Canis lupus familiaris: one gene and its partners. The protein of the gene in region 6 interacts with the protein of the main gene of each other region in a pairwise test. Links are inferred from orthologs where the notes say so. Each region holds a gene or a part of one and is shown on either strand. Other genes may lie near its edges.

Region 1 (3,500 bases), on a different chromosome or scaffold from region 6:
TGTCACGCTAATTTCATCAGACAGCCAAAGGAGCAGGCTAGCCCGGTGGCAAGGTATGAAGACGCTGAGGACATCCGCCTGGGTCTGTATGTCAAGGCCAAGCACAGGAATGACCAGGACGACAACTCCGTTTCCAGGGTTGACTGAGTGCTAGCTCTATGCCAAGAACCACGCCAAAGACTTTCCAGGCATCACATTATCCCATCCTGACCACCGTGCTCACCTCTCGCAGATGGAGACACGGGACTGAGAAGGTGACAGTCTGGAGCCTGCAGAGCCTGGACCCGAAGAGTTTAGCCAGCCCCTTCCCCGGCCTGCTTCAGTGCCTCAGTGAGCCACCTGTATGTGGGATGGGGCACCAGCTTCAAGGGCAGCTGTCTCACCTCACCCACCTGGCCCCGTGGGTTCCTGCACTCAACGAATACTGCATGCCATCTGAACCTCGGGCCAGGGCCGGCTATGGACTAGCAAGAGAGATGTGGCCCTGCCCTTCTGTGCTCACAGGGTGGTGGAAGAGACAGACTATGAGCGTGCAAGCATAAAATGGACAAATACAAATTGCATAAGTGCTGGCAAAACAAATGAACAGGTGTCATAAAAGAAAATAAGAGAGCTAGGCGGACAGGGAAGGTGACACCTATCCTGAGACCAGAGGAGGAACCAGCCATCCAGTATGGCGTTCTGAGCAGGGGAACTATGGGGGCCAAGCCAGGAGCGGAATGGACAGCATGTTCAAGGAGGCAAGTATGGCAGGAGTCCACCCCCGAGGGCCTTATCTGAATTTGGAAAGGAGTTGCAATTTTTGCCAGGTACCCTAGGAAGCCAGCGGCAGGCATCGGGGTATAGGTTCATGAACTTGTTACCAGGTGCATGGTGTAGAACTTGATGGTGTCCTGCTGGGAGTCCCATTCAGTGGCCACTGCAATGGCCAGGGCCTCGCTGGGGACAGTAAAGAGCTTGGCTTGGGGAGTTTTCAGCTTCCTGTGGTCCAGGTTTATCTCAAAGCCACCTTGAAAGATCAGATGAAAACCTCTCAGGGATTGTTAAGTGGAATCGAGTGACCATTCCTATATTTAGCTACTTGAATGGGTACAGACAAAGACAACTGTGAGTCCCTTCATGGAGGGCTTACAGAAACCCATCCAACAAAAGCACGAAGGGTAATCTCACCGCTGAAACTGGCTAGAGATGAAAAATGTTTCTATCCATTCACAGAATAAAAAAAAAAAAAGAAAGAAAGAAAAAGAGGCAGTCAAAATTTCAGACACTCACCTTCACCCTGTGTGATGCTGACATTCTGATAAAACCTCTTCCTTTCTGTAAAAGAGATTTTTCAAAAAGGCAGTTTTAAAATAACATCGAGACAGCTCAGGAAATGACAAGACCAGCTTGTGTCATTACTGCTAATGCTGATTGATTGGCTTGATTTTCATATCACTATTCAAGGTCTGCCCTGCTCTACGCAACATCAGCAGCAGCTCCTGATTAAAGCTGAGAGGAGGAGGGCATTTGCTCTCCAGGGATGAGGGGGGCCTGGGACACACTGGTCATGCTCCCGTTGGCCCCGGAGCCCAGGCACAGTCTGATCGCAAAGCATCTGGAAGCTGCAGGCCATCTGACACAACAGATTTTTCTAGCATCTTCTGCATTAACTTCTAAGCAGGCTCCCCACCCATACCACCCCCATCAGCACTGCCCCCACGCCAGTACAACATATGCCAGTTCAAAGATAGTGTCTGAATGTGATAAAGCCAGTGTGGACATGCGTGTACACGTGTGTGGCATACAGGAGGTAAGCAGAGATCCCAGGAGCATCTCTCATCCTCTCTATCCAATTAATTACCCTAATTAGCCAGCATGCCTGTGTATTCAGCAGGAACTCCAAACATTTCCTTTAAGGGGAAAATATGTGTCCTGTGATATCTGAAAATACCCTGACTAAAACCTTAAATGAAAATGGAAACAAATTCCCCCTCTTCTACTTGGAGGGCTTAACACTGAGAGTGCCTCATTAAGAATTATGCAGGTCATAATTATAAAGAACAGGTCACATTTTGAAAGCTAAAGACCATAACCCAGTTATAACATTTGTGATGAACACAAAACCTTGACTCATTCACTTGTTGTTCTGTCACATATTCACTGGGTACTAAAAGCCTTCAGAGTCCCTGATTGAAAGTTACTTGTTGGAAATAATGATGCAACATGAGGAGGAGGAGGAAGAGGAGATTTATTCATTTTTAATGCTTTAAAAAAAGCCCAAAGAACAAAAACCAAGCTTAAGTTAAAATTAATTCAAGCAGACTATGAAAATCAGGAGAACTTTGTTTGTGTGTGGGGGGAAGGCTGGTGGAGGGAGGGCGTCTGGTCTCCAAACGTGGTATTTTTAGGTTTTCCACATCACATCAGTTTTTTTCACCGATCTCATGCTCTGTCATTGATGCTCTCACAAAGAGGACCACAAATTCCATTTCCACAGCTGTGCTTTACTCAACGAAGGCCCAAAGTGCTTTTTGACAAAAAAGTTGCATGTCTACCATGTGCCAGGTACCATTCTAGGTACATGGGATAAAACAGTGAATAAAAATGACAAAAATTGCTGTCTTTATGGAGTTTAAATACTTAAAAAGGTGATAGGATCTGGCCACCAAGATGATGCTGTATTATTATAGTGTGAGTTACTACCTTTATCTGAAATTGTAATAGTGATTCACACATTTGACATCAAAATGGAAACTATGCCACCCTGGTGCTTTCGAATGCCCCTAGTTCACATCTGGAGGCCTCTTGGGTCTGTCTGGAGGCCTTGACTGAGGCACTTAGACGACATCCAGTATGTTCTCCAATGCGTGAACTGGGCAACAGGTCTAAAGCAGGAAGTGGGAAGAGCTCTGAAAGCTGACTCATCATCACTGGGGGAAGGATCTGCTCCCATCAGCAGGAAGTGCCAGTGGAGAGCATTCTAGCACATAGCTCGAAGCAGCCCTGGGAAATGGGCCCAAGAGACCTGGTCTCAGGGCAGAAACTGACAGCACAGGCTGAACCTAAAGATGCCAGAGCAGTGAAGTTTCCCACGAGGAAGGTTTTTTTTTTCTTTCCTCTGCTTTGCTGGCCAGGCCTTGGTTCCTCTGTCCTGGCCAGGTCCCCCTCTGTGTCTGATTAAGAAGAAAATACCGAGGGGCACCTGGGTGGCTCAGTCAGTTAAGTGTCTACCTTCGGCTGAGGTCATGATCTCGGGGTTCTGGAATCAGGCCCTGTGTTGGGCTTCCAGCTCCCCGCCTCTCCCTTTGCCCCCCCACCTCGTGCACTCTCTCAAATAAATAGATAAAATCTTTTAAAAAATTAAGAAGAAAGAACTGGAAGAGAGTGGGAAAGATAGAAGGGAAAGGATGGGTCAACCAAAATTGCTCAAAACAGCAGTAAACCATGCAGAAAGAGAGGAAGCCCCAGGCCAAAGGAGCACAAAAGTTACAGGGCCCCAGAAGAGGGCAGGCCCACAT
Region 2 (4,294 bases), on a different chromosome or scaffold from region 6:
CAAAAGTGTTGTGTTGTGAATGAGAACGAAATGTTTAAACTATAAATACATGTAGATGTGAATGTAAATTACAAGAATTTTACACCTAGACAAGCACTTTGTTGCCATAATATTTGATCATATTCAGATTCTAAAGTACATAAATCGTAGTGGCAGACGACCAAGTAAATAATTTACAGTCACCGTTCGGACGCTGCAGTTTACAGGCTGCGTAAAATACATTGTAATTTAAAACATGGAAGGGGGTGGTGAGGTCACCAGAGCAGCACTTTAGGGAAAACTACTTTCTCTATCAGCAGTTCATTAGAAAAGAGAGTACATGTGTCGGGAAAGCAGCGCAAGAGAAGGAAAAATGACAATCACACTGCCATAACCTCCACCTCCCGACAAAGTAACTAACAGTGGGTCAGCTCCTAAGCCACCTGGAGAACGGGCCCAGTGGGATCCCGAGAGGGGATGACAGGAGACCCTAAGCAGAGGGGGAGGGGTGGCGATGACAGGAGAGGGGGCGGTAGAGAGATGGCATGCCACCCATCTCCGAAAAAGGGGAGAATACGGGGGGCAAGGGGCGGAGGAGGGAAGGCAGGAAATGCTGCCGGAGATTCCAAACGAAGTGAGAAGGAACAGGGTAGGAAACCCAATAAGGCGGGACCCTCGGGCGGAAAGGGGTCTATTCGGAGCAGAGGAGGAATGTCAGTACACAGCTTTCCTGCCAGCTGACCCTTCTTCTCGCCACCTCTCCACCCCTGACAAACTCTCACTTTCTAGCAACCCTAAACCCGCGGGTCATCCCAGCCCCGCTCCCTGCCCCCCACCCCAAGCCGGATAGGTGGAGAAGGGATCTTCACTCTCTCTCCCGGTTGGGCTCCGGGAGCGAACACCGGACACAGCCCTGATTCGAGAACGAGAAGGCCAGGAGACGCAGGGAGGCCCAGGACCCGGGTGACAAGTCCAGGCGGCCGACGGGCGCCTCACCTGACAGAAGCGTCGGCAGTAATCCCGACTGCTGATCCCAAAGCCGCCGACCCCGCAGCTGCCGCCGCCAGCGCCACCTCTGCCGTCGCCCGCAGCTCTAAACCCGACAGGGCCTGGCGGGGACTCCACAATGGCCACGAGCTCTTCTCCGAGGCGTTCGGCCTCTTGATCGCTCTCTTCCTCCGCCATGAGGCTCTCGCCGCCCAGCGCGTACCAGCCCCTACGCCGCCGCCGCTGTAGCTGCCTCGGCTAACCTCCTCCTCCTCTCGTTCCCTCCCCCTTCCCTCCGCCCCAGCCGGACAGGCCTCTCGGCGGTCTCTACTTCCGGCTCCGCCCACCCACGCCCCCAGTTCTCATTGGAGAAGTCTGGCCGCCAATCACACACATGCCCGCCCTTCAACTCCCATTGGCCAAATTAACCGTCTGTTTGAGAGACTCTCGGTCCGTTGGTCAGCGCTGCTCGGCGGTTGCTGGGGCCCGCCTACGAGCTTTGCAGTAGGCGGTGCAAGAGGACGGGGCGCGGCGGGGGACACGGCGGCCGCCGCGGGGCTAGATCGGGCGGCGGCGGCGGCGGCGGCGGCGGCGACGGGTCTTCCGCCTCCCTTACCCCCGTGCTCCTTTTTTCTTCCTCCTCCTTTCCTTTCCGGCCGGGTCTCATCCACTTCCCCTGACGGCGGCCCCGATCCTACGGTACCGAGGAGCTAGGGAGAACGAGGGTGGGCCCGGCCGTTGGTGCGGGGTTTGGGCCCGGGGCCTTCGGTCCTGAAGCGGGAGCCGGGGGCGGGGCCGGGGCGCCGTTGTCGGCGGGAGGAAGAGGGAGGAGACGGGAAGCCTGACAGCAGACGCCTCCGCCGGGCGCCTGCCGCCTCCTCTCCTGAGACTGCCGCCAACTCTGCTGTCGAGTTCGCGGGCCCGCGGCTCGGTCCCGGCCTCATCCGGCTGGCGGCCCGGGGTTGTGGGCGCCAGGGTGCTGAGCTCGGCGCGGGGGAGGGAGTCCAGACGCCGGGGACGCCCCGCGCCCCGCCTTTCTCCCCCGCCCCCGACCCTGGGGCCTGGGTCGCGCGAGGAGGTGCCAAGGGGGGCGGGCAACTAAGAGGACTGCTTGGACCGCGTTGAGGTAAACGTTGGGATCCGGATGGGTGGTGTGGAGTCCACCTGAAGAGAGCGGTTTTAAGGACACCTCCGTGGTGGCCGCGTCGTTCTTGTTCGTCTTTTTATCTCCCCTTCTTTCCCTCCCCTCCCCCATATTTTCTTTCCATTTGTTTTTCATGTTTTACAGTAAAGGCATGACTTCCCGGCACCGCAGGGAAAATAGGGTGCAAGCCCAGGAACTATTTCCCCATCACCACTTGTTGAAAAACTGATTTGAAGGCGGCTCCGGATTTGAACAAACCAAAGTGCCAGGATTTCAAGCGTCTCTGGTTGTACTCTGGAGACCCTTCACTGCTAAATATCAAGACGAAAAAAACGGGAAACTGATCGGGTAAACATTTAAACTTGAAAACTTGTGAGTTTGATTTCGGTCTAGTAAATTTGCAGCTTCTCTTTTGTTGGCTAATTCCTGCGCTTAACTTCCTCGTTTAAAATATCTTTACAATCTGTTGAAAACACTTTTGTTATTCGGGTCTCTGTAAAGCCGAGCATCCTCTACTGGGTGGATATTTCCCTCTGCGGTAACACAAACAGATTTTTGAAAGTTACAGGCAGTGGAATGTATATAGGCCTTTCACATTAGCACAAATGATAGAGCATTTTACGCTTCAGAGAATACTGATCATGTTTATTTTAAAGTTGGAAATCCAAATTTTAAAAGACAGAAGACTGTCACATCACAAGATTTAGGCGTTCCTAAGCACAGATATTTAATGTTTTTATAACTAGGTTAGAACAAAATTAATCATAATTTTGACTGATTTGTTAGAGGAGTAAAAAATACATACCACTGACTTAAAGTACAAACATATGTAATGGTAACTGATTTGGGGGCAGGAATCATATCTGTCTTCTCTGCCATTGAAAACCTATAGCCTAACACAATATTTGGCACGTGAGAGTCGAACATTGAATAATTTGTTAATTGGAAGAAGATACAGTTAAATGTATTAAAACCTAAACTTTATCATACTTTCCAGAATTTCTCTGAAACGTTATGTCTTGTCTCTTGAGTTTATGTCCATGGGTTTCTAACGCATTGGCAATTTAGCATTCTTTTGAGAGAGAATTCCTATAACCCAACAATAAATTATCTAATATAGATTAAGGGAATACTCCCTTATTGCTGGTTACACTTTTAAAGGATAGTTATTCAGAATGCACTTAAGAATTTTTGTCTAACGTGTTTATAGAGAACAGAATTCCATCTTGAATTCTATCAAATTCATTTTAATTTCTTATATTTGGGTTAACGTAAGAGCTTAGCCCAAAGGCATGGCTCTAGAGAACGAATGGTTGTCACTGACAACATTTGTTCTTTATCTCAGGTTTTCAGTGTCCGTAATGTAACGTCATAATTTTGGCAAAGATCATAAAAATGTTTTTAGGGTAAATTGAGAAATTATTAAGCTGCTTCTGAGTTAAATACTTGGAAAAATAACAAAAAAAATCATTTACTTATTCCGTCAACAAATGGATTTATAGACTTATATACTAGGCACTATGTTACCTTCTTAGATTTGTTCTAACTTACCAAATGAAATAATATAAGTGAAATAAATAATTAACAAATGCATTCATCTTTAAGGGAAAAAAAGAGGGAACAGGGGTTAGAAAAAGCACTTTGCATATCTTGATCATCTTTAGAAAACTCGGTAGACATATATGTACATTAAAAAATTATTTACTTTGAGCTCTGTATCTTGGCTTTACCATTTTATGTCATTGTTGCTGCTGTTAATTGCAGTTGGTCTGTGTTCTTTTTCAGTTTTTGCTTTTTTTCTTCTCAGAACAATTTTGGACATTATACCCATCTTCATATAGAATTAGGGCAATTTATTGGCCCACCTGTTTGAGCAATTTTTGAACATAATTTCCTATAATTGTGTTCCTAAAATCAGTTGCCCAGAACTGTGAAGGTAAAAAAGAGTCTTTTAAACTTCAATACACATCTAAATTGGATGAGACTAATATAATTAATACCCGGGATCCCTGGGTGGCGCAGCGGTTTGGCGCCTGCCTTTGGCCCAGGGCGCGATCCTGGAGACCCGGGATCGAATCCCACGTTGGGCTCCCGGTGCATGGAGCCTGCTTCTCCCTCTGCCTGTGTCTCTGCCCCTCTCTCTCTCTCTCTCTCTCTCTCTCTCTCTCTGTGTGTGTGACTATC
Region 3 (3,500 bases), on a different chromosome or scaffold from region 6:
CAGGAACCAGGCTTTTGGACAATGTTCTAAAGGATTTAAGCAGAATAATTTTTTTTCATTTCCGTAACTCCAGCTCCTCTGCGTGAAGCACATTTTCAGTAGCGTGGACACTGATGAGATAGCAAACAGAAGGCAGTACCTTTATGCCCCCCATGGCAGGCCCAGTACAGGGCAGTACTTCCAGCTTTGTCTAAGCCATTAACGCCGACTCGGTTGTCCAGACATTCTCTCAACCAGCTCAGGTTGCCTGAAAACATCATGCATTTATAAGAACACAAGAAAAAGGGCTTGGGTTTTTTTTGTTGTTGTTGTTTTGGTTTTGCTTTTAAATCAATTTCACCCTCCATAAATTTCCATCTAGAATGGATTAGTCAGCAAGTCTGAAATTAAGACCTACCCAATAATGCATTCATTATGGTACATTTTCACTTCCAGTTTATTAATGAAAAGCATTAACAACAACTTGAAGTGGGGGTGGAGGAGGCCGGTGGAGGGGAAGAATTATTTGTCACAGTTCTGGCAAGTCCAGAATCAAGGCGCCAGCAAGATTCAATGTCTGGTAAGAGCCTGCTTCCCAGTTCACAGACACTGTTTCCACCCCCTGGACAGAAAGAGCAGGAGAGCTCTCCCGGGTCTTTACTGGTTCTATTCATGAGGGCAGAGCCCTCATAAGCTAATCACCTCCAAACACCACTGATCTGGGGTTAGCTTTCAACATCTGAACCTTGAGCAGACGGAAACATTCAGTCTATGGTATCCACGGCCTGGCCCACATACAGCTGATCACTGTGTATGTCACTGACGAGATACAAGTAAGCTCTGTGGCTTGTACAACATCAGTCTCTAACGGTCAGTTAAAGGGAAGAGTTGCCTAAATGAGCCTACTTATGGTTGTCTTACTCTGTAAAATGCACATACATGGAACTTTTTCCTTTGTGAAATCCTGGAAATTAGGGAAAAAAGAGTCAAACCTAAGAACAGGTAGATACTACTCATTTTCATATTAAAATGTATTCTCAGATCTTATAAGAAAATAAGGAAATAAACACTAAATAACCTCCTCATATGTTAAAATATAACTACCAATTTAAAACCCTCTGGCTAATGTCTAAATATCTAGTTCACAAATCACTTTGCTTTTTAGTTTCAAGTCTTTATTTAAATTCCAGTTATTTAACATACAGAAAAATATTAGTTTTTTAAATGTCAGCTTAGTAGTTCTACTTATGCACAATTCTCAACCAGTAGTTTCCTTTTGCACATTCATGTTTCAAAAAGATCTGGAATAGAATGAAAGAAACCTCCTTGAGGCCTTATAAAAACTCCCTGTGTCCATAGTAGGGTTTCTCAACAGCAGCCCTACTGGCAGCAGCAGGGCTGGAGAATTCTTTGTTGCGGGGCAGACCTGGGTACCATTGTATGTCCCCAGCATTTACAACCCAAAAGGTGCCAGTAGCATCCCCAAGTCATGACAGTCAAAGTGTCTCCAGGCATTGCCAAATATCCGAGGGTTTGAAGGAGGAATTACCCCCAGTGGAAAACCACTAATGTACAGGATAAAGTCCCATGTACAAGGCCGGTCCCTGTTGCTCTCTCCCTCCACAGTTTCACCCGCACCCCACTCACTTGCATTACTACAACAGTCTCCTAAATGCTACAACCACAAGAAGCCTCCACCCGCCTGCCTTCCAGTTCCTCATTGCGGCCTCTACAGCCTGCTTAACTTAAATATACTTCAGTTGCTGTTCTTCTGACACCATCCTGTAATGATCTGTTACACACATCTCTCCCCCACCAGACTTGGAGCTCGGGGAGTCACAGACAGCACCTTTCCACCTGCCACTGAGCACGGGTTAAGTAGAGAACTCAAAAGTGTTGGTGGCTGACATTTCAAAAATGAAAATCAGGGCAGCCCGGGTGGCTCAGCAGTTTAGTGCCGCCTTCAATCCAGGGTGTGATCCTGGAGACCATGGGTGAGTCCCACGTCGGGCTCCCTGCATGAAGCCTGTTTCTCACTTTGCCTGTATCTCTGCCTCTTTCTCTCTCTCTCTCTCTCTCTCTCTCTCTCTCTGTTTCTCATGAATAAATAAAATCTTTAGGAATCCCTGGGTGGCGCAGCGGTTTGGCGCCTGCCTTTGGCCCAGGGTGCGATCCTGGAGACCCGGGATCGAATCCCACGTCGGGCGCCCGGTGCATGGAGCCTGCTTCTCCCTCTGCCTATGTCTCTGCCTCTCTCTCTCTCTCTCATTCTGTGTGACTATCATAAATAATAAATAAATAAATAAATAAATAAATAAATAAATAAATAAATAAATAAAGTAAAATCTTTTTTAAAAAAAATGAAAATCATGGGGGTATGGCCTCGCTGGCTCATTGGACTGACTCTTGATCTCAGGGTTGTGCTTTCAAGACCCACACTGTGTTGAGATTACTGAAGGAAATTTTTTTTAATTTTATTTTTTAAAAATATTTTATTTATTCATTCATGAGACACACACAGAGAGGCAGAGACACAGGCAGAGGGGGAGGCAGGCTCCCTGCCGGGAGCCTGATGCACACTCAATCCCAGAACCCCGGATCACGACCCTGAGCTCAAGCAGATGCTCAACCGCTGAGCCACCCGGGTGCTCCCCACCCCCCAATTTTTTAAATAACATTTTATCTCTCTAGGGTGATAGAAGGCAGAATAGAGATTGCCTCTCAGACTCCTAACTCTGGGAAACGAACAAGGGGTGGTAGAAGGGGAGGTGGGTGGGGGGTTGGGGTGAGTGGGTGACAGGCACTGAGGGGGGCACTTGACGGGATGAGCATTGGGTATTATGCTGTATGTTGGCAAATCAAACTCCAATAAAAAAAAAAAAGAGAGAGAGAGACTGCCTCTCAGGCGGGGGTGTTTACCAGGAAATGGGAACTTCCTGGGACGACAGAAATGTGCTAGATCTTGATTGCGGTGTCCGCTACGTGGGTATATATATACACGGATCAAAAGTCATCAAACTGTGTAATCAGAATCTGTGTGCTCAACTCCACTGTGTCCCTCAATGAAACACAACCACACCTACCTCTTTTTGCAGCTTCATGCAATGGATTGTCGATGGATTCCGCCTGCTCGGCCACTAGATTGAAAACAAAAAGAGCGAACCCGATGTTGAGAAGGACCCGAAGGACCCGCTGCAGCCACTCCGCGGTCCCCGGCTCCCAGGGTGCCAGGGCCTCCCGTCACAGAGCATCCCTTTTAAGTGGATCCGAGAAAATAGAAGAAAATCAAACTAACGTTTTCTGCTTTAAAAGGAGCTGAATTATTTGCGAAAGAAAACCAAGCTAAGCAATAAGGCAACACCACAGCAATGAACTGGAAGTATAAACAAAAACCAAACGCAGTAATTAACTGGAAGTATAAGCAAAAACAAACATCCATGGCCTACATACCGGTACAGCCAAGTGTGTCATAAACTTAGTCACAAAAATGCAAAAGAAAACATTTGATGCTCATTTTTACA
Region 4 (4,278 bases), on a different chromosome or scaffold from region 6:
TATAGAGGCCAGGGTGCACCTATAAGCACCCAACTGGCAGCCCTAGAGGCCAGGCTCCTGCTGCTAATTGTCTCGGTCCCCTTCACTGGCCTGCTAACTGTCCCTTGATTTAATTCAGGCACCTCAGAGCCTTTGCACTGGCTGTTTTCTGTTTACAGGCTGTCTTTCCCAGAACTTCCCTTTTCTGAACAGCACTCCTTTCTTTTTCTCTTGCACTTGTCATCCCTCATTTTTTTTCCCACAGCAGCTAACTGCCCCGTGACATGCACATCACTTGCTTGCCACCTATCTCCCTGACTAGAACATCAGTCCAGGAGGACAGGGATCCTGGCCTATCTAGTCTACAGTTGTTGCCCTGGCACATGGCGTAGGCTTAGCACAGGTCTGTATGGCAAGCCCGAGTGCCACCCTCACTAGGAACCGGCTACTGTGTCCCCACTCACCATGAGGTTGGCATTGGCGATGTGGTGCTTGACCACACCCCCGCCCAGGATGATCATCCCAGTGCGCTTGGCAAAGATGGCCTGTGTGTTGATGAGTCGCAGGTCTGGGAGAAGAGCATTGTGGTCAGGCAGTGGACACAGCCACCCTACCTCCCCTGCTCCTCTGTGGCCCTAGCACCTCACCCTCAACAATGTCCAGGACCAGGCCTGGGTTCTTGTAGGAATGGAAGAAGATCATGTCGCCCAAGGAGCCATCTGTGAGCGCTGGGCTCAACACGGGGATGTGGTTCTAGGGAACAGCAAGATGAGAGCAACAAGCTCAGAGCCCAGCAGAGGCAGACTGGCCCCCATCCCAGTGGCATCCCCTCCTCTCTGCCTGATTCTAGGCAGGATGCTTACTAAGTTCTCTAGGCCTTAGCTTCTTCAACTGTAAAATGGAGACTGCAACAGCATCTCCATCACAGATGAAGCATATGTGATGAAACCAGACAAAACCAGTGGAGAATGGTAGCTCTCATTACTCCCACTGCTGGACCGCAGCGTCAGACAAACTAACATCTGTGTTGGCTTCCTCACCTAAGAGTGGAGATGATGAAATGGTTCTCCAGGTGGCTATGAAGGTGAAACAAGCTAACATGTGCCAAGGCCTGGTACCCTTGCCCTACCTAGTCCCTCACCTTCTGGGCCCAGTAATACACTGATTCTGGGTTGTTGATCTCCTTGCCCAGTCGGGCAATCATCTTGGAAGGTGTCCACTTCACACCCTAGGAGGAGACATTGACTTCAGCCAGCAGGGCCGCCTCAGTTCCACACCGACCCCCAGGGTGCTCCTGCCCCACCTCTGTGTTCTGCTCCAGCACCATTTGGTCCAGAATGGGCATCAACCAGTCCTCAAACTTGCAGTAATTGTCATTGGGCACCAGTAGGTTTCCAATCCTGCGGAACATGAGGCATGTGGGCATCGGGCCCCAGGATCCTCAGCCCAGCTCCCTTGCCCAGCATCACTCAGGGCCCCGAACCTGTTGATCCCGTTCTCACGTAGCTCCTTCCCCCTGAGACTGAAATCGCCCAGGTACGTGGGTGCCAGGCACTTGATAAAATCTTCCTCCACACCGCCAGCTGTGGTCACTAAGACGTCCACCTGCAGCCACAAATCAGGTTGGCCCAGGAAGAGGGGCCCTGCCGTCATGCCAGGTAGGGCTCCTCATTCCCAACACTAATCCAGTGACCCTTGGGAAAATCTCTACTGCAAAATAAAAGTAGATCCTGTTCCTCCGCTTAAAACAATCCTGTCTCCCTGTCATTTAAGTGGCCAATAATTTTTATTGCCCATAAGACCTAGAGAGGCCAAGTCCACAACCCCGCCAGGTACCCACCATGTTGTGCTGCACGAGGTAACGGATGGTCTCACGGATGCCTGAACTGATGAGATTGGATGTGTAGCCCAGAAAAATGGTGCAGCCAGTAAGTGGGCGGCGGCTCTGGGTCAGGTCTGCATGCTGGTCTTCATCCTGCGACAGCGGCTCTAGTTTCTTCTCTATCTAGGTGTAAGGGCAGAGTCAAGTTACCCTCTGGCCCCAAACTCTAGCCCGAGGGCTCCAAGTGGGTTTCAGGATCAGACTCCAGCCCCGGGGCCTGCCCACTCAGGAATAAGGAAACACTTCTACTTGGAATACCTGAAGCCAAGGAACGAACGCCCCCTGCGCAGGCTCGGCCCCATTCACCGCCCAAATCTCAAGGCACGCGCTCAGGTTTTATTCCCCTTTCAAGGAACTGGAGAGCACTACCTCTGCAGGCCTGGTCACTTTCCCCTTTGGAAAAAGCAAATCTGAGCCCAGACCCCGCCCTGACTGAGGCTCCTCCTCAACCGCACCGTTCAGAACACTTCACTCCTTACCTACAACCCGCCTCCTATCTAGCATCAGTCCCAACCTCATCCTGATGGTAGGATGCTATGGAGATGGGGAGGCACAAGGTCCTCTCCCCAGCACGGAAACCGCTGCCCAGAATGGACCCTGCCTCTCTCCACCTATTGGGCCGCCCGACAAAGGGCACGCCTCCTTCTCAAGGGAGCCCCGCCCCCCAGTACCGCATTGCCGCTACTGGAGGCCACACCCCCTCAACCCAGGAAGTTCCGCCCCAGGCTTCACCATGGCGTTGACTTGCTGCACTGCGCGCCCGAAGTTGGTGGCCTGGAAGCCAGTGGTGCCGAAGGCCTCCAGTAGCGCACGGTAGTCCACGCCGCGGCTGAAGTCGTAGCCTCGGACTTGGGAGCTCTCGGAGGGCAGCGCCGAGCTATGCTTCAGCACAGCGGCCAGCGCCGCCGCGGGTGCCTTCCCTTCCGGAAGACCCTCCATGCTCCCGCGGCCGCACTCTCAGATCACAGCCGCCCAGACCAGGCCTCCAGCGGCCTCGAAACGCACTAAGCCCCGGCACGCGCTTCTATATGACAGTGCAGGAAGTAGGGCTCTGGAAAACCTGCAGAAGGGGACGGGAAGTTGCTCAGTCACGTGACTCTTTGAGCCCCACAATCCAGGGCGCGGCCATGTTTGCGCATGCGTTTCCGTAATATGGAAGCCGCGAGGAGCCGTTATTGCCTGTTTCGCGTCTTGTCAGCCCGAGATGAATGAAGAGTCCTGCTTTCACTGCCGCCTGCTGGAGACCCACCGCGTTGCGCGGCGCTTTCCCATTCGTTTCTGTCCCTTTGGGAAGGAGGATGGCTTCTTAGACGTCGCCCTAGGACAGGATTCGAGTCATCAGGAAATGTCAGATAATTTCTGGCCCTGAGCGTCTCTCATCAAATGGTGTAGTGATCGCTGTCCGTACCAGAGCCTCCACATGCTGCGTAACCCTCTGGTCTTCCCCTGGTAGTTGCGGCCGTCACTTCTGGGAAGCCTTCCCTGACCGTCCTCTGGGTAAGGGACCTCCTCTGGGATCCAGGGCTGACCTCTCTTTCCCTCCAGCAAGACTGTGAGACCCTCGAAGGTGAGGTCTGTATCTCATGGGTCCTCCTAGCCCTGCATAGGGTTTGGTCCAGGGGGAATCTTTTAACCAGGCACTTTATAATTTATGGAGTCTATACCATACGTTGGGCTCTGTGTTTGGCGACTCAGATTTATCAGTGAACAAGATGCAGACCCTGCCCTCCTGGAGTCCATAGTTTGATTGGGGAGCTAGTAAAGCTAACCACAATAGTGATTAGTGCTATTGAGGATTCAAACATGATGTGTTTTTGAGGTAGGGGTGGTTGAAGGGGTTGATGGCCTTATTTGCAGGGACAGGTGGTTAGGGAAGGACACCAAGGAGGTGACATTTGAGCCAAGGCCAGAAAGCCAAGAAAGGCCCCATATGTGCAGATTTGGGGAGGCCTTTCCCCCACCATCCCCCAATGGGAAAGAGAACTGCCAGTGCAAAAGTCCTGAGGTCAGAGATTAGCCCACTTAACTGGAGGAAGAGAACATCCTCCCTGACATTTTTGACAGTCCCCACTTGGATCTCAAACTCACCACCTCAGCTCCCACTCCACTTAACGCTGATCTCCCTGCAGTCTTCCACATCTCATCAAAAAGCCCTCAACTCAGCAAATAAGCCCTCCATGCACCTAGTAGACCCAACACTGGAGAACTGAGCTTGACCTCTCTCCTTTGTTCTCACCCATCCCTCAGCACCTCCGCCAAGTTCTGCCCACAAAATAGGTCCCAATTCCAGGTGCCTTTTTATTATTATTGAGATAAAATTAACATATTCTATTAGTTTTAGATGTACAACATTCTGATTGGGTATTTGTATCCAGATGCTTCTCTCCATTCTCTCAGCCTCCACGCTGGGCTACCTT
Region 5 (4,129 bases), on a different chromosome or scaffold from region 6:
ACATTTTACTTTTTTTTTTTTTTTTTTTTGGCATTTTACTTTTAACAAGACAGGACTTCCAAGTCATTGTCATTGCTTCCAACGAGTAGATATTATGCCACATTTGAAGACAACTAAGAAATGCTGTCACATGTCACAACCTTTATTTTCTTTGAATGAGAATATACATCTCCATCCTCAGGTTCCAGGAAGAGGTTCTAATCTGTGCACAAGCACTAAACATTAAGTCAGCCAGCTTCAAATTACTTTTAGCTTCAGAATCCAGCAACCCTGACACTCACTGCAGACTTATATGTTACTCTCTTCCAAGCTGATTCAAGTGGCCAGACCTGAACAGAAATCCATCTACTAAATGAATAATGGTCCAGCTAACAATTCTCTCTTTCCCCAGGACCACCACTTAGGCCAGTCTTCCATATACTGCAGGCAGATCCAGAACCAGTTACATAATACTTTTTCACAGCTCTCGTGGGGAAAAAAACTGGGGAGAAGATACAGCTTAAATCAAACCAGCATTACTTTAGATAACCAAATTCACAAATGAAGAGATAAGTTCCAAACGAAAGTTTATAGAAGGCACTGGTTTTAAAACAAAATAAAAGGCAAAAGGAAAGTGGGAGAATAGAAAACCTCAAGGACTCAAAAACTAAGATCTGCAACCAGGTAACAAAATGAAATCTGACAAAACCAGTAGCCACTGAATTAAACCAAATACCTGGAAACCTACTTGGGGAAGGTGGCTGAGGAAAGTAAAATCTAGCCTAAACCAGTTTCTGCTCCAAAGGAGCTCACAATTTAACAAGGAGAGAGCAAAGCAGGTCTACAAAGGGTAGGTGAAGCTGACAAGATGCCCAGAGAAAAGGGCAAAATGTGCTTTTAAGACTTTACAGAGATGGGGTGCAATGGATCTCCAGAGGACTTGGGGCAACACAAATTTCAGACCCTTAAAAAGTGTAATTTTTAAAAAAGTGTCTAAGAGGAAACATGAAATTGTTAGATTAGAATGTATTCTTTGTTTTCATAGCAGGTTCCCACTCAGGTCGGGATGGGACGGCCAAGTTCGTTTTTTTCCTGACAAAAAGGAAAAGTTTCTGATGTTGTTAAAAAGTTAACTACCACTAACTACATTAGTTAACTAAACGTGGGCATCGGGTCTGAGGGAGTAAGAGAATGATTTGGAACAGAAAGGAAAAGACAGGAGGCCCAAAGAGGCACAACAAATAAATCCTGACAGCTAAGAACTACGACCCACGCGGCCTTCCGGCAGAAGGCCGCGGGAAGCTGAGGGGCAGGGGATGGGCGGAGTGCCAGGGCTGAATCGAGGTCACCGAGGAGGGCAGAGCGAGCTGTGACGCTGCCGACTGAGGCAGGAGAGCAGCCTCTGCGGTTCTGCGCGGGGGTCGGAGCTGACCGGCACCTTTGACAGAGTCGGAGGAGCGGAAAAGCTGCCTGCCGGGGCCGAGGTGGGCGGACCGGGCGTTTAAAGGTCAAGGTCAAGGTGGGGTTTGGAGAGCGAGGCAGTAGCGTTTTTCCAGGAGGCCGAAGTCATACGAAATGATAAGGATATTATTTACCACTCTCATTTTTAAAAGAAAAGTAAAGGTCTCCCGGGCGGCTTCGGAGTGGAAGCGGCCCTGACAGCAGCGAGTGCAAAACAGGCCGGGGGAGGGCGGCGGGGCCGGGGGAGGGGACGGACAGCGGGATGAGCGCTGGGCCAAGAGAAGGAGGGAGGGAGGAACGGGCCGACGACACGCTCGGGCTCGGGCCCAGGGCCACCGCCGCACTCACTTGCCCTCCTGGCAGTCGTAGAGCACGATCGAGTCGTCGTCGCTGCTCGAGATGACCGTCTCGCCGTTGGGGCTGAAGTCGAAGCAGTTAATCTTGTCCGAGTTCTCGCGAAACACCTTGGCGACGCGGAAACTCCGCAGCACGCTGTCGGTCAGCTTCATGGCGGCGGCGGCTGGAGGAGGCGGCGGCGGCGGCGGCGGCGGCGCAGGGCTGGGGCGGGGCCCGGCGGCGAGCGGGCGGGCGGACTGACTGCCTGCCGAGGGGCCGACCCGGGCGGGGCGGGCGCCGCGCCGGCGGCGAGCGTAAGGGCAGCCGACAGTCGGCCCACCTCCTCCCCTTCCTCCTCCTGCACGTGCGACGCTCTTCGGGCCAGACTGCGGGGGCTCGCGGACCGTTCCTCCTCACGGTCGCCTCAGGGCCAACCGGCGCGACGCCGGCTCATTGTGTCCGCCATCTTGGGACGACAGGCAGAAGCCGAGGGCGAGGAGCCTTACCGCGGCGCACGCCGGGAAAGGGGGCGGGGCGGAGCGGGGGCGCGAGGCGGGCCGGTGGGGCGGTGACGTCAGTGCGGCCGCCCAGGAGCGGAGTGGAGTGGCGGGGTGCCCGAAGGCGGCGATTCTCTGGCGCGCAGTGGGGCCCGAGGGGCGCGGTTGTCCACCGCCTTCCCGCTGGGCCCGGAGGCAGCTGTGCCTGGGAGCCGTGAGCCTTTGCGCAGGATCGCAGTCCCCCTTAGAGGCTCCCCCTTCCCCAGGATCGCAGCCCCCCCTAGAGGCTCCCCCTTCCGCAGGCCACGGGGAGCAGGTACTGCGGGGGTCGGCTGCGCCACTGGAGGCCTGTTCTGGGGGTGAGTCAGTGGACCTATGGCTGGCGGGCTCTGACTGCTCGTGCACTACAGCGCCAGCATAGTTTCAGTTTCAGGTGGGTTGTTTGGTTTGGTTTGGTTTGGTTTTGTTTTGAGGTGTAATATACAGTAGCCTGCACAAAGTTTAAGTGCTTTTTTTAAAAATTTGGATATATACCTGTGTGACTCCTACCCAGAAGTTTTCTTTAAGCCTTCCTTAAAAACTTTTTAATTGACACATAACATGAAGTGCATAAAGTGAACGGATTTTAAGTGTACAGCTCCACACACTTGTAAGCACTTTTTAAGACATTTATAGCCTCAGAACTCATAGCATCAATTGCATGGAAATTTTTTAAATGGAGTTTTATCTCCTTATTCAACAAAATACAATTTTAAGTTCTCCAGATTTCCTCCTTTTTCGCATCTCTACGTGAACTTTATAAGTGCAACCATCTTTTTTTTCCTAGGTCAGTATTATATATTAAACATTTTTCCATGTTAGTAAACCGAATTGGCGGTGGTGTTCTTAATCGAGGTATCATTTATGTGCAGTAAAAAAAAAAACTGGCCTTTTAGGGACATCTAGGTGGCTCAGCAGTTGAGCGTCTGCCTTGGGCTCAGGGCGTGACCCCAAAGTTCCAGGATAAAGTCCCACATCGGGCTCCCTGCTTGGAGCCTGCTTCTCCCTCTCCCTCTGCCTAGGTCTCTCTGCCTCCCTTTCTCTGTGTCTCTCAAGAATAAATAAATAATCTTAAACAAACAAACAACCCTGACCTTTTAAATGGATAGATTTATAAGTTTTGACACCCATATTGAGTTGTGCAACCACCACCACATTCAAGATATAAAACAGTTACATAACCCTCTTTGTAGTCAATGGGGTTGTCTCAGTGGTTTGTTTAAGGATTCATTGCCTTAAAAGGAAGGAAAATTGGTCTCTAACAAAGGAAAGTGATATCTGATCACAAAAAAAGGTACCAGGCACCTTGGCTTTAACTTTCTATGCAAGGGGTCAAACTCAGTGCAACCTATGGGAGTTCATAGATCTCTAACTTGTGGGCAACTCTTCAAAGACTAATTGCCTGGGGTCTTTAACAATGGAGACAGGCCTGTTTATTTTGCTTCACTAAACTGCAGTGGCTAAAGAGGAAGAAAAAGGAAGAGGAAAGACTTAAACATTAAAATCAGCTGTATTAGGAAGATGTGATATTCAGAGATCCAAGTATAACCTGAATAATGAATGGTAAAAAACAAAACAGAAACCCTGGGACAGATGAGTCTTTCTAGAAAGAACTAAAGGATGTCCCTGGGTAAAGGGAGAGCCAGGATCCCTACACATAAAGAGAAGTTGTTCTTTGAAGGGAGTGGGCAAGATCCTGGCTAAGTCTCGGCTGCGACTGCCTCCTGACAAAGAGCAGAACTTCTGGCTACAGCGTGTTCTGGGATCTGGCAAAAGCCTGTTTGAGCGTAACCCAAATGTATGGCAACTTTCCAAAC
Region 6 (4,214 bases):
TTTTAAAACATATTTTACCAAAGACAGTACTACTGATTAGTAAACAGAACTATGTGTGCCTAAGAACACTTTGCACTTTGTACTGGCACAAGGACGAGCTTTAATTCAGACATAAAATAGCTAATTTTACTTACATTAAACAATACAGAATTATAAATATAATAGAGTAATGACTGCCTACCCATTCCCTACATGAGACAGGGAACATTTTTGTTAACAATACCTGTTCTAATTAATTGTGTCAAAAGACAGAAATCAAAGTGTTAAAAAAAAAAAAAAAAGGCAGTAAAGAGAGCTTAATAGACCCCGGTCTGTGAAACCCTAAATAATTAATTTGATAATTTACCTAAACAAAATTTAGAATCATACTTACATACATATGATATATACACACATATATATTAAATTTCCAGTTACTCATGATACTTAAATAATTTTGCTAATGAGCCTCTGATCTGTTAACTTTTACATTCTACAGATAACATATTCAGCTACACATACCTATTTACATATGACATCCGGTAAGAAAAGAAGAAATGGTCTTAAGTGCCTGGTAATCAATAAAAATATTTTTTGAGGTTTTAATACTACCTTACTACAAGTAATCTAAGCTAGGCAACGATAACTAATTAAGCAAAGTTTTTTTCCTATTACTCTTTCGGTTTAACTACTGTTTCAAAACAGGAAAAGAATTTATAATTTACTGATGAGTCTTTTTCTCTAAGGCCTTTACAAGTGATTAAAAACAATACACCCAGACTCCTTTTTTAAAATTTCTTTGGCAGTTTTCATACAACTGAATTACAATTTAAATAACTTGTCATATTAAATACTCCCATTCTAATGCAACTCCAGAAAAGGAAAGAAAAAAAAAAAGATAATGATCCTACGACTTTTCATTCCTTTAAATTCTTTCCCCTTCAATTTAGGAAATCAGTCCTCACAATAGCACAAAATACAGTGCCATTCAACAAATTTAAATTGTATCACATCGCTGAATGATGGGGGCGGGGGCGGGTGGGGGGGGTCTTACCTTACCCTCTATGTAAATGGTTCTTTTAAAAGAATCACAGGTATTACACTCGTGCCACATATTAACGAAGTTTGGTTAACTTGCCAGCAGTCAGACTTTTCTTTTCTTTTTTTTTTTACTTATAATGCTCACCGTTCTCTCTGACTCTCATACAAAAAAAATCTCTGTCAACCAATAAATCAGCCAAATATCTCAGATCATCTTTGCCCTCTTCACCCTCTTCATCTCAACGTGCTTTTAAATGATAAATTGACAAAATTATCTGAAAGTTTGGGGTCACTGAAGTGGGTAAAGAGAAAGTTGAAATATTTTAAACTTGTATTCTCACATAAAAACCACAGACAAACCGAAATCAAATGTCATGTGAACCACCCCAATTTCCTTTTCGGCCTGCAGCAGCAGCTAATGGCATTGTTCTGCTCAATCTTCTTTTAAAAAAAAAAAAAAAAAAAAAAAAAGCTTTCTACTTCCTCTTCTCCAGACACCAGCCTCCGAGGGTCACCAAGCCAGGGTCTTGGGAGGGCGCGGAGGAAGCATAAACAAGCCCCCCCCCTTCAGCCTCCTGGCCCAGCGCTGAGCTCTATTGTAAGGCCTCCCTGCCTCGAAACCGCCCCATGAACCTTGCCAGAATCCTCTCCAAGGCCACCTCGAGCAGAGCCCGCTGGATTTACTTCCCTCTAGGTTACAGGCAGATCTAAACCCCGGCTGCATATCATATAATAATAATAATAATAACAATAACAGGAGGCTCCCTCCTCTGCCCTCCAACTTTTTTTTTTCTGGGTAAACTCGTCGTCCACTCCCCCTGCCCCCAAAGCAAGAGATCTACGCATCTATCTATAAACGGAAAATAAATTGTTACCTGAGTGATGCAAAGTTTTCATTGCTAACTCCTATTTGAAAGCCCGGACACTCCCCTGCCTTCCAACGAAGAAATTAAAAAAAAAAAAAAAAAAGATAACGTCTCCGTAAACCAGAAAGTACCCGCTTTAAAGTGGAAATCATCCACTCGGTTGAAACAACCTTTAGGACCAGGTAGGGCACCCCCGGGGGGGGCTCCTAACCGAGCCTCTCGGTGCCACTCGGTGCCACTGTCAGCACATCAGCGATCACCGGCTGGCACTTGATGAAATTGAAAAGAAAGAAAAGAAAGAAGAAGAAAAAAGAAAAGAAAAGAAAAGGAAAAAGAAAAGAAAAGAAGAAATAGAAGAAAAGGCAGAGCACTCCCTCCTGAGGTCTTCACTCCTGTTCTAAGACCTAAAGCCTGAGCAATTCAAATAAAAACCCATTTTGCAATACGTGACCTCTCGGTCCTCCCGGCGTGAGGTTCCCGGTAACTGCTCTGACCCTAAACCATCAGGGCGCCGGGACGCATCCTAACGGCCTCGGGTCACCGCCCGGGACTCGCATCTCGCACGCAAGCCGGGCCGCCCTCCCGAGGCCGACGACGCGCGGGCCGAGGCGACCCAAGGGCAGGGGCGCCCGCGCGCCCCGAGACCGCCGCGCCCCCCGCCGCCCCGAAAGCTCGGACCCGCGCCGCGGACACTCACCCGAGGCCATGGCTCCGCTCGCCGCGCCGCCCGCTCCAAGCGTCCAGACCCGAGGCCGCACGAGCAGCCCGCGTCGGTCCGGCGGCCGAGGGACTCTGCCGGCGGGCCCCCCGGTGCCCCTGACCACCCCCGGGGCCTCCTCCTCCTTCCCGCCCTCCTCGGGGCTTTGCGGCTCACACCCTCCCACCCCCTGAGCGCTCGCGTCCGGGATCGCCGGCTGCGCCCGTCCGGCGTGCGGGAGCCAGGCGCAGGGGGCGGAGCGCCGCGACAGCCGAGCGCCCGCCGCGGCCCGGAGGCTGAGGCCGCCCGGCGGGAGGGGAATTTCCCGCGACTGACGTAGGCCCCCCCGGCCCCCCCGCCCGCCCGCCGCGCGCACGCCCCGCCCCCTCCGCGCGCCCCGCCACGCCCCCTGCGGCCCGGGGGGCTCCGCGACTGGGTCGGGGCCGCGGGGGGAGGCGGGAGCTTCGGGAGCGCGGGGGACGCCGGGAGCCGGGCGGTGACGGTCCCGAGCGTGCGAAAGCCGCCGGCTGCGGAGAAATCCCCCTCCTCCAGGTGGTTCGGAGGCGCGTGGCTTAAAGTTCAGGAGCGGGTGGGAGGGTGCGCTGACGTGCCGGGGGGCCGGCCGCTGGGAGCGGGGGGGCGGGCCGGGCGGCGGGGGGGGCGGCTCTCCCGGGGCGGCGGCGCGGGGGGGCGCGGGGAGGGAGGAGAGCGGGCGCGAGGCGGGGGGGGGGGGGCGGCGGGCCGGGGTTTTCAATGGGTGGTTCCCCCTCTTCCCAATTTCGTACATGCAAATCTCCGCCCCCGCGCCGCGCGGACGTCCCGGTGAGCCCTGGCGGGGAAGTGCGGAAGCCGCGGCGTCGCCTCTGTTCTTCTGTGATGCGCAGATTTGCATTTGGGGACCCCCGCCGCCGGATCGCCCCCCGCCCCCATTCTGCCTCCGCCGGCGGAGGTTCTGTCTGCTTCACCTGCGGCAGCTCTTGAGGCTCTGGAAGAGCCGCCCTGCGAGTTGGGTGCCTCGTACGCGCTGTGCTTGGTGAAGGAGACGCCGTCCGGGATCTGACGGATAGACTCCCACGGGGAAGGGGATAGACTCCCACGGGGAAGGGGGTGGGGAGGGGATAGACTCCCACGGGGAAGGGGGGGGAGGGGGATAGACTCCCACGGGGAAGGGGGTGGGGAGGGGATAGACTCCCACGGGGAAGGGGGTGGGGAGGGGATAGACTCCCACGGGGAAGGGGGGGGGGGGGGATAGACTCCCACGGGGAAGGGGGTGGGGAGGGGATAGACTCCCACGGGGAAGGGGGTGGGGAGGGGATAGACTCCCACGGGGAAGGGGGGAGGGGGATAGACTCCCACGGGGAAGGGGGTGGGGAGGGGATAGACTCCCACGGGGAAGGGGGTGGGGAGGGGATAGACTCCCACGGGGAAGGGGGGAGGGGGATAGACTCCCACGGGGAAGGGGGTGGGGAGGGGATAGACTCCCACGGGGAAGGGGGGAGGGGGATAGACTCCCACGGGGAAAGGGGAGGGGGAGGGCGATAGATTCCCACGGGGAAGGGGGAGGGGGATAGATTCCCACGGGGAAGGGGGTGGGGACGGGGATAGACTCCCACGGGGAAAGGGGTCGGCAG
Region 7 (4,154 bases), on a different chromosome or scaffold from region 6:
TGTATTTTGCATCTTCTGAGCAATAAGTTACTTAGGAGCAATAAGCAGTCTAGTTACTGTTACTGCATCACTGTATCCAGCTCACAGACTGATATTTATTTATTTATTTATTTATTTAGATTTTATCCATTTATTCATGAGAGACACAGAGAGAGAAGGCAGAGACACAGGCAGAAGGAGAAGCAGGCTCCATGCCGGGACATGGGACTTGATCCCGGGCCTCCAGGATCACACCTTGGACTGAAGGCAGGCGCTAAACTGCTAAGCCACCAGGGCTGCTCGACAAGTCCATATTTAATATTAAAAGATCTGTCTGGGTAGCTTGGACTCCTCCCACCAGAGCTGTTTCATAGAAGCATATGTTTGCATAGAATTACATTGGCCCTGTAACTGTATAGCCAGAGGAAACTTTCATTGCTTCACATGTACAGTGTGGGATTTATTCCTGATGTAAAACTTTGCTACTGACAACCAAGTAAACCAGAATTTCAACCAGTAAATCAAGAATTTTCACAATTTACTTGGAAACACAAAGAATTTTCCCAAATGACAATTTGTTATTTTAAGAGAAATGGCTTCAAAACCATCTATCATGGCAATACTATTTTAATAGTTTCTGCTTCTAGCCAAGTTTGAGAAGAAGGAAAAAAAGACAAACATAAGTTGATGAGAAAATCTCATTCCATCAAAAAGAACTCTTAGAAAATACTAATGTTTCAGGTAAACCATTACTTCTTCACCCATAATGTCACCCATAATGAAGGTCCTATTATTCACATGTCTTTAGTCAGCACTGAAAACCCAAAGCAGATGATGCTCTTGACTTATACCAATGGCATTGTGATGATTAATGTAGCTTTCTCTTTGATAAATTTGGCTGTAGTCATTTCAGTATTCACAGATTCCGGAAGATTCAGATGTAATCTGTACTTCTCAGAGACCTCAATCAATAAATCATCCTATTTTAAAAGATGAAAAGAGAAAGTATTTCCTGGTTAAAATATGTGTTATTGTGTCATTCCCAGTTATTCACTCCTTTTCCATAAGAGGAGGATCCCACTTACTGCCATGTGACTTGCAATGAGCTGTACAGTTGCTGTTGTAAACTCCCCGAGGTTTTGAGTTTTTTTGTTATTGCTGCTCAATACATCAAAAGTTAACTGATACAGTGCCATAAGTTGGGTGTTGCCATCCTAGGTTATGTGGCATTGACTTTGTGGCTGACCAGCAAACAGTGAGGAAAATTTACTGACAATAGGAAAAATGGTGATCTGCGTTTTATAGTGATAAAACCCTTCGTAAAACTGATAGTTTTATCACAGTAATTTAAAAGACGTACCTTGTTAATTTGTGGCTTGAGGTAAAGAAGTGTGAAAATAGAATGTTGGTTGCATGCATTGTTTCCATTGACTACATTTAATAAACTACTACAAAAAGAGACGAGCTTAGAAAACAATTTCCCAGTTTGCAAGTAGTATTTTTTTTTTGCAAGTAGTATTTAAAGAATACAGAGCCCAGAAATTCTAAGACATCAGGACTGAGAAATGGAACTAATTTTTATTTTAGCCCAGTAAAAAATAAAATTATTTCATAGCAACAAAGACTGATGAAGACAGCCTAGCAGTAAAGATTGAATCACACATCATATATTACACTCTTTGTTAAAACCTCTCACTGGCTTAAGGTGGAGCTCAGTTAATCCTTACATTTGGCTCACAAGACAGCAATTAAGAAAAAAAAAAAGGGAACTGAAAAATGAATGAACATGTCTAATAAAGAATTATGGGGAGTGGCACTGATCGGAATCAAATAAAACACTACCAGCCTAGACTAAAACATTTAAAATGACCTTTCTATGCCCATCATTCCCAAAACATTTAACAGAGTAAACTGCTCAGCATGTAATGGTGGTATACCCTCCAATGTTCTTTTCCGACGTGGCCAGTGTGAGTCAGAAAAAGGGAAACACCATCCAAAGAATGAAGCTGAAAGTCTTGGAAAACAATGGAACTAGGGGGCTAGGTAATCAAGGAATCTTGTAGTGGAACCTAATCAAGAACATCCTCTACCTGCAGGAGAGATACCCTCATAGTATCTGCCTATCAGGATTTCAGAATTGCTGTGCACCAGTAAGCCTCATATTTTCCCCATTTCCAAACTGAGACTGTTAATTATGGTTATCCTCTCTCCATTCCAAATTGTATGGTGCATGGGGCTATGGCAGTAGATTACTTGTCTTTTCAGCTCATAGGTCTGTGTTCAGGAGGAGAATGCAGATTACAATGGCAAAATCCTATAGTTTAGAGTCTGATACTGGGATTAGGGGTAACTTTCTTGGAGAAAGAAGCAAATTTTTGTCATCTTGAGAGTGGACTGTGGCAGATTCTAGGACTTTTGCCAATATTTTGTTCTTTTTGTGTTAGAGGGGTATACATTCCTGCCATTTGAAGTCAATGACTACCTGTAAGAATATTCTTCCCAGGGGATCCCTGGGTGGCTCAGCGGTTTGGCGCCTGCCTTTGGCCCAGGGCGCGATCCTGGAGTCCCAGGATCGAGTCCCACATCGGGCTCCTGGCATGGAGCCTGCTTCTCCCTCCTCCTCGGCCTCTCTCTCTCCCTATGTCTATCATAAATAAATAAATAAATAATAATAAATAAATAAATAAATAAATAAATAAATATTTAAAAAAAAGAATATTCTTCCCAGCCCTATTGATGGAGGATTTAGCCTTATGCCTTAGCTTTAGACAACAGAATGTGAGTAAAAGTGACATATACTATGTCTGAGAGAAAGTTTAGGATCTATTGCATGGCTTGGCCATTTGTTTTCCTCTTCCATGAGAATGGCATATCTCAAATGGGAATTCCTCCTCCACCTGTATCTTAAAATGTGCAAGAATCCTGGAACAGAGCAGGTCTACCTGACATGTAACCTGAGCAAACTGGTATAAACCACTGAGATTGTGGAGTTTGTTACTACAGCATAATATATTGTGTTGACTGATACAATTTATGGTATTACTTATTCGACTTACCTCAGAAACACTAAGGTCACAGAGAGACACTGAATTAATACCAGGTAATTCAACTTTTATTTCAATTTTCTGAGGTTTCTCCTTCTGGTCAGCCACAATTTTTAATTCATAGGTTGGTTCCTTCATCTCTACCTGGATCTCTGTACTGGAAATCTCCTCAATCAGACATCTTTTTTTGCTTGAAACTTCGCCTTTTGGCAATAAAAGTTGAAAGTGATCTGGATTGCTCAGAGTACTACTTATCTCTTCAAAGGTTAGTTCTTATAGAAAAAAAGGGTGAGATTAAATCATAAGATTAATCAACAACATAAAATATTATCAGGCTATGAACTGTAATAGATGTGGTGTTAGCCAAAATGGCAAATAAAACTGAAACTAAATTCATTTAGGAATCTTAAAAGAATCTTGGGATGCCTGCGTGGCTCAGTGGTTGAGCATCTGCCTTTGGCTCAGGGCATGATCCTGGAGTCCTGGGATCGAGTCCTGCATTGGGCTCCTGGTGGGGAGCCTGCTTCTCCCTCTACCTATGTCTCTGCCTCTCTCTCTGTCTCTCATGAATGGATAAAACCTTAAACAAAAAAATCTTAAACCCAGGGCACCTGGGTAGATCAGTCAGTTAAGCATCTGACTCTTTTTTTTTTATTTTAAAAAATATTTTATTTATTTATTCATGAGAGACACACAGAGGCAGAGATACAGGCAGAGAGAGAAGCAGGCTTCATGCGGGGGGCCCAATGTGGGACTTGATCCTGAGACTCCAGGATCACACCCTGGGCTGAAGGCAGATGCTCAACTGCTGAGCCACCCAGGGATCCCCCAAAGCATCCGACTCTTGATTTCATTCAGGTCGTGATCTCAGGGTTGTGAGATTGAGCCCCGAGTTGGGCTCTATGCTCAGTGGGGAGTCTGCTTGAGATTCTCTCTCTGTCTCCTCTCTCTCCCTCTGCACCCCCCCAAATAAATAAAATCTTAAATAATCTTAAAGAGCTGGGTTAAAAAGTTTGCAGGATTTAAAAATGTTTAAGGACATGTTAATATTTCTAACATCTAATCTTTATATTTTTCTATCTTAAGTTTCTCATCTTTTAAAATCAAGATTTTTGGTTTGCAAAATGTACA

The links.
Region 1: the proteins of REL (region 6) and ATPAF2 interact in binary tests that used the Homo sapiens proteins (3 or more experiments, as listed by UniProt). The two-hybrid records come from large-scale screens. The link is inferred for Canis lupus familiaris from reciprocal best matches to the Homo sapiens genes REL and ATPAF2.
Region 2: the proteins of REL (region 6) and CGGBP1 interact in binary tests that used the Homo sapiens proteins (3 or more experiments, as listed by UniProt). The link is inferred for Canis lupus familiaris from reciprocal best matches to the Homo sapiens genes REL and CGGBP1.
Region 3: the proteins of REL (region 6) and OSTF1 interact in binary tests that used the Homo sapiens proteins (3 or more experiments, as listed by UniProt). The two-hybrid records come from large-scale screens. The link is inferred for Canis lupus familiaris from reciprocal best matches to the Homo sapiens genes REL and OSTF1.
Region 4: the proteins of REL (region 6) and DHPS interact in binary tests that used the Homo sapiens proteins (3 or more experiments, as listed by UniProt). The two-hybrid records come from large-scale screens. The link is inferred for Canis lupus familiaris from reciprocal best matches to the Homo sapiens genes REL and DHPS.
Region 5: the proteins of REL (region 6) and GLYCTK interact in binary tests that used the Homo sapiens proteins (3 or more experiments, as listed by UniProt). The two-hybrid records come from large-scale screens. The link is inferred for Canis lupus familiaris from reciprocal best matches to the Homo sapiens genes REL and GLYCTK.
Region 7: the proteins of REL (region 6) and PIH1D2 interact in binary tests that used the Homo sapiens proteins (3 or more experiments, as listed by UniProt). The two-hybrid records come from large-scale screens. The link is inferred for Canis lupus familiaris from reciprocal best matches to the Homo sapiens genes REL and PIH1D2.

The regions. Positions count from the first base shown.
Region 1 is NC_049226.1:41,700,599-41,704,098, reverse strand, and holds part of ATPAF2 (ATP synthase mitochondrial F1 complex assembly factor 2), read right to left. Parts: intron 1,318-3,500; coding exon 1,273-1,317; intron 1,010-1,272; coding exon 864-1,009; intron 1-863. UniProt on the Homo sapiens protein: Plays a role in the assembly of the F1 component of the mitochondrial ATP synthase (ATPase).
Region 2 is NC_049252.1:521,020-525,313, forward strand, and holds the start of CGGBP1 (CGG triplet repeat-binding protein 1), read left to right. Parts: upstream 1-1,494; 5' UTR 1,495-1,665; intron 1,666-1,945; exon of another isoform or gene 1,946-2,092; intron 2,093-2,254; 5' UTR 2,255-2,482; intron 2,483-4,294. Other genes in the region: ZNF654 (zinc finger protein 654), read right to left, coding at 976-1,164. UniProt on the Homo sapiens protein: Binds to nonmethylated 5'-d(CGG)(n)-3' trinucleotide repeats in the FMR1 promoter. May play a role in regulating FMR1 promoter.
Region 3 is NC_049222.1:83,747,856-83,751,355, forward strand, and holds part of OSTF1 (osteoclast-stimulating factor 1), read right to left. Parts: intron 3,117-3,500; coding exon 3,063-3,116; intron 248-3,062; coding exon 140-247; intron 1-139.
Region 4 is NC_049241.1:49,833,014-49,837,291, reverse strand, and holds the start of DHPS (deoxyhypusine synthase), read right to left. Parts: upstream 2,801-4,278; coding exon 2,594-2,800; exon of another isoform or gene 2,552-2,593; intron 2,494-2,551; exon of another isoform or gene 2,381-2,493; coding exon of another isoform or gene 2,341-2,380; intron 2,255-2,340; exon of another isoform or gene 2,120-2,254; intron 1,985-2,119; coding exon 1,820-1,984; intron 1,585-1,819; coding exon 1,463-1,584; intron 1,380-1,462; coding exon 1,283-1,379; intron 1,208-1,282; coding exon 1,121-1,207; intron 733-1,120; coding exon 627-732; intron 548-626; coding exon 444-547; coding exon of another isoform or gene 426-443; intron 1-425. UniProt on the Homo sapiens protein: Catalyzes the NAD-dependent oxidative cleavage of spermidine and the subsequent transfer of the butylamine moiety of spermidine to the epsilon-amino group of a critical lysine residue of the eIF-5A precursor protein to form the intermediate deoxyhypusine residue.
Region 5 is NC_049241.1:37,900,197-37,904,325, reverse strand, and holds the start of GLYCTK (glycerate kinase), read left to right. Parts: upstream 1-1,329; 5' UTR 1,330-1,463; intron 1,464-1,788; coding exon of another isoform or gene 1,789-1,949; exon of another isoform or gene 1,950-2,258; intron 2,259-4,129. Other genes in the region: WDR82 (WD repeat-containing protein 82), read right to left, coding at 1,789-1,949.
Region 6 is NC_049231.1:62,276,094-62,280,307, reverse strand, and holds the start of REL (proto-oncogene c-Rel), read right to left. Parts: upstream 2,801-4,214; 5' UTR 2,594-2,800; coding exon 2,584-2,593; intron 2,468-2,583; exon of another isoform or gene 2,338-2,467; intron 1-2,337. UniProt on the Homo sapiens protein: Proto-oncogene that may play a role in differentiation and lymphopoiesis.
Region 7 is NC_049226.1:21,090,454-21,094,607, reverse strand, and holds the end of PIH1D2 (PIH1 domain-containing protein 2), read right to left. Parts: intron 3,296-4,154; coding exon 3,036-3,295; intron 960-3,035; coding exon 825-959; 3' UTR 501-824; downstream 1-500.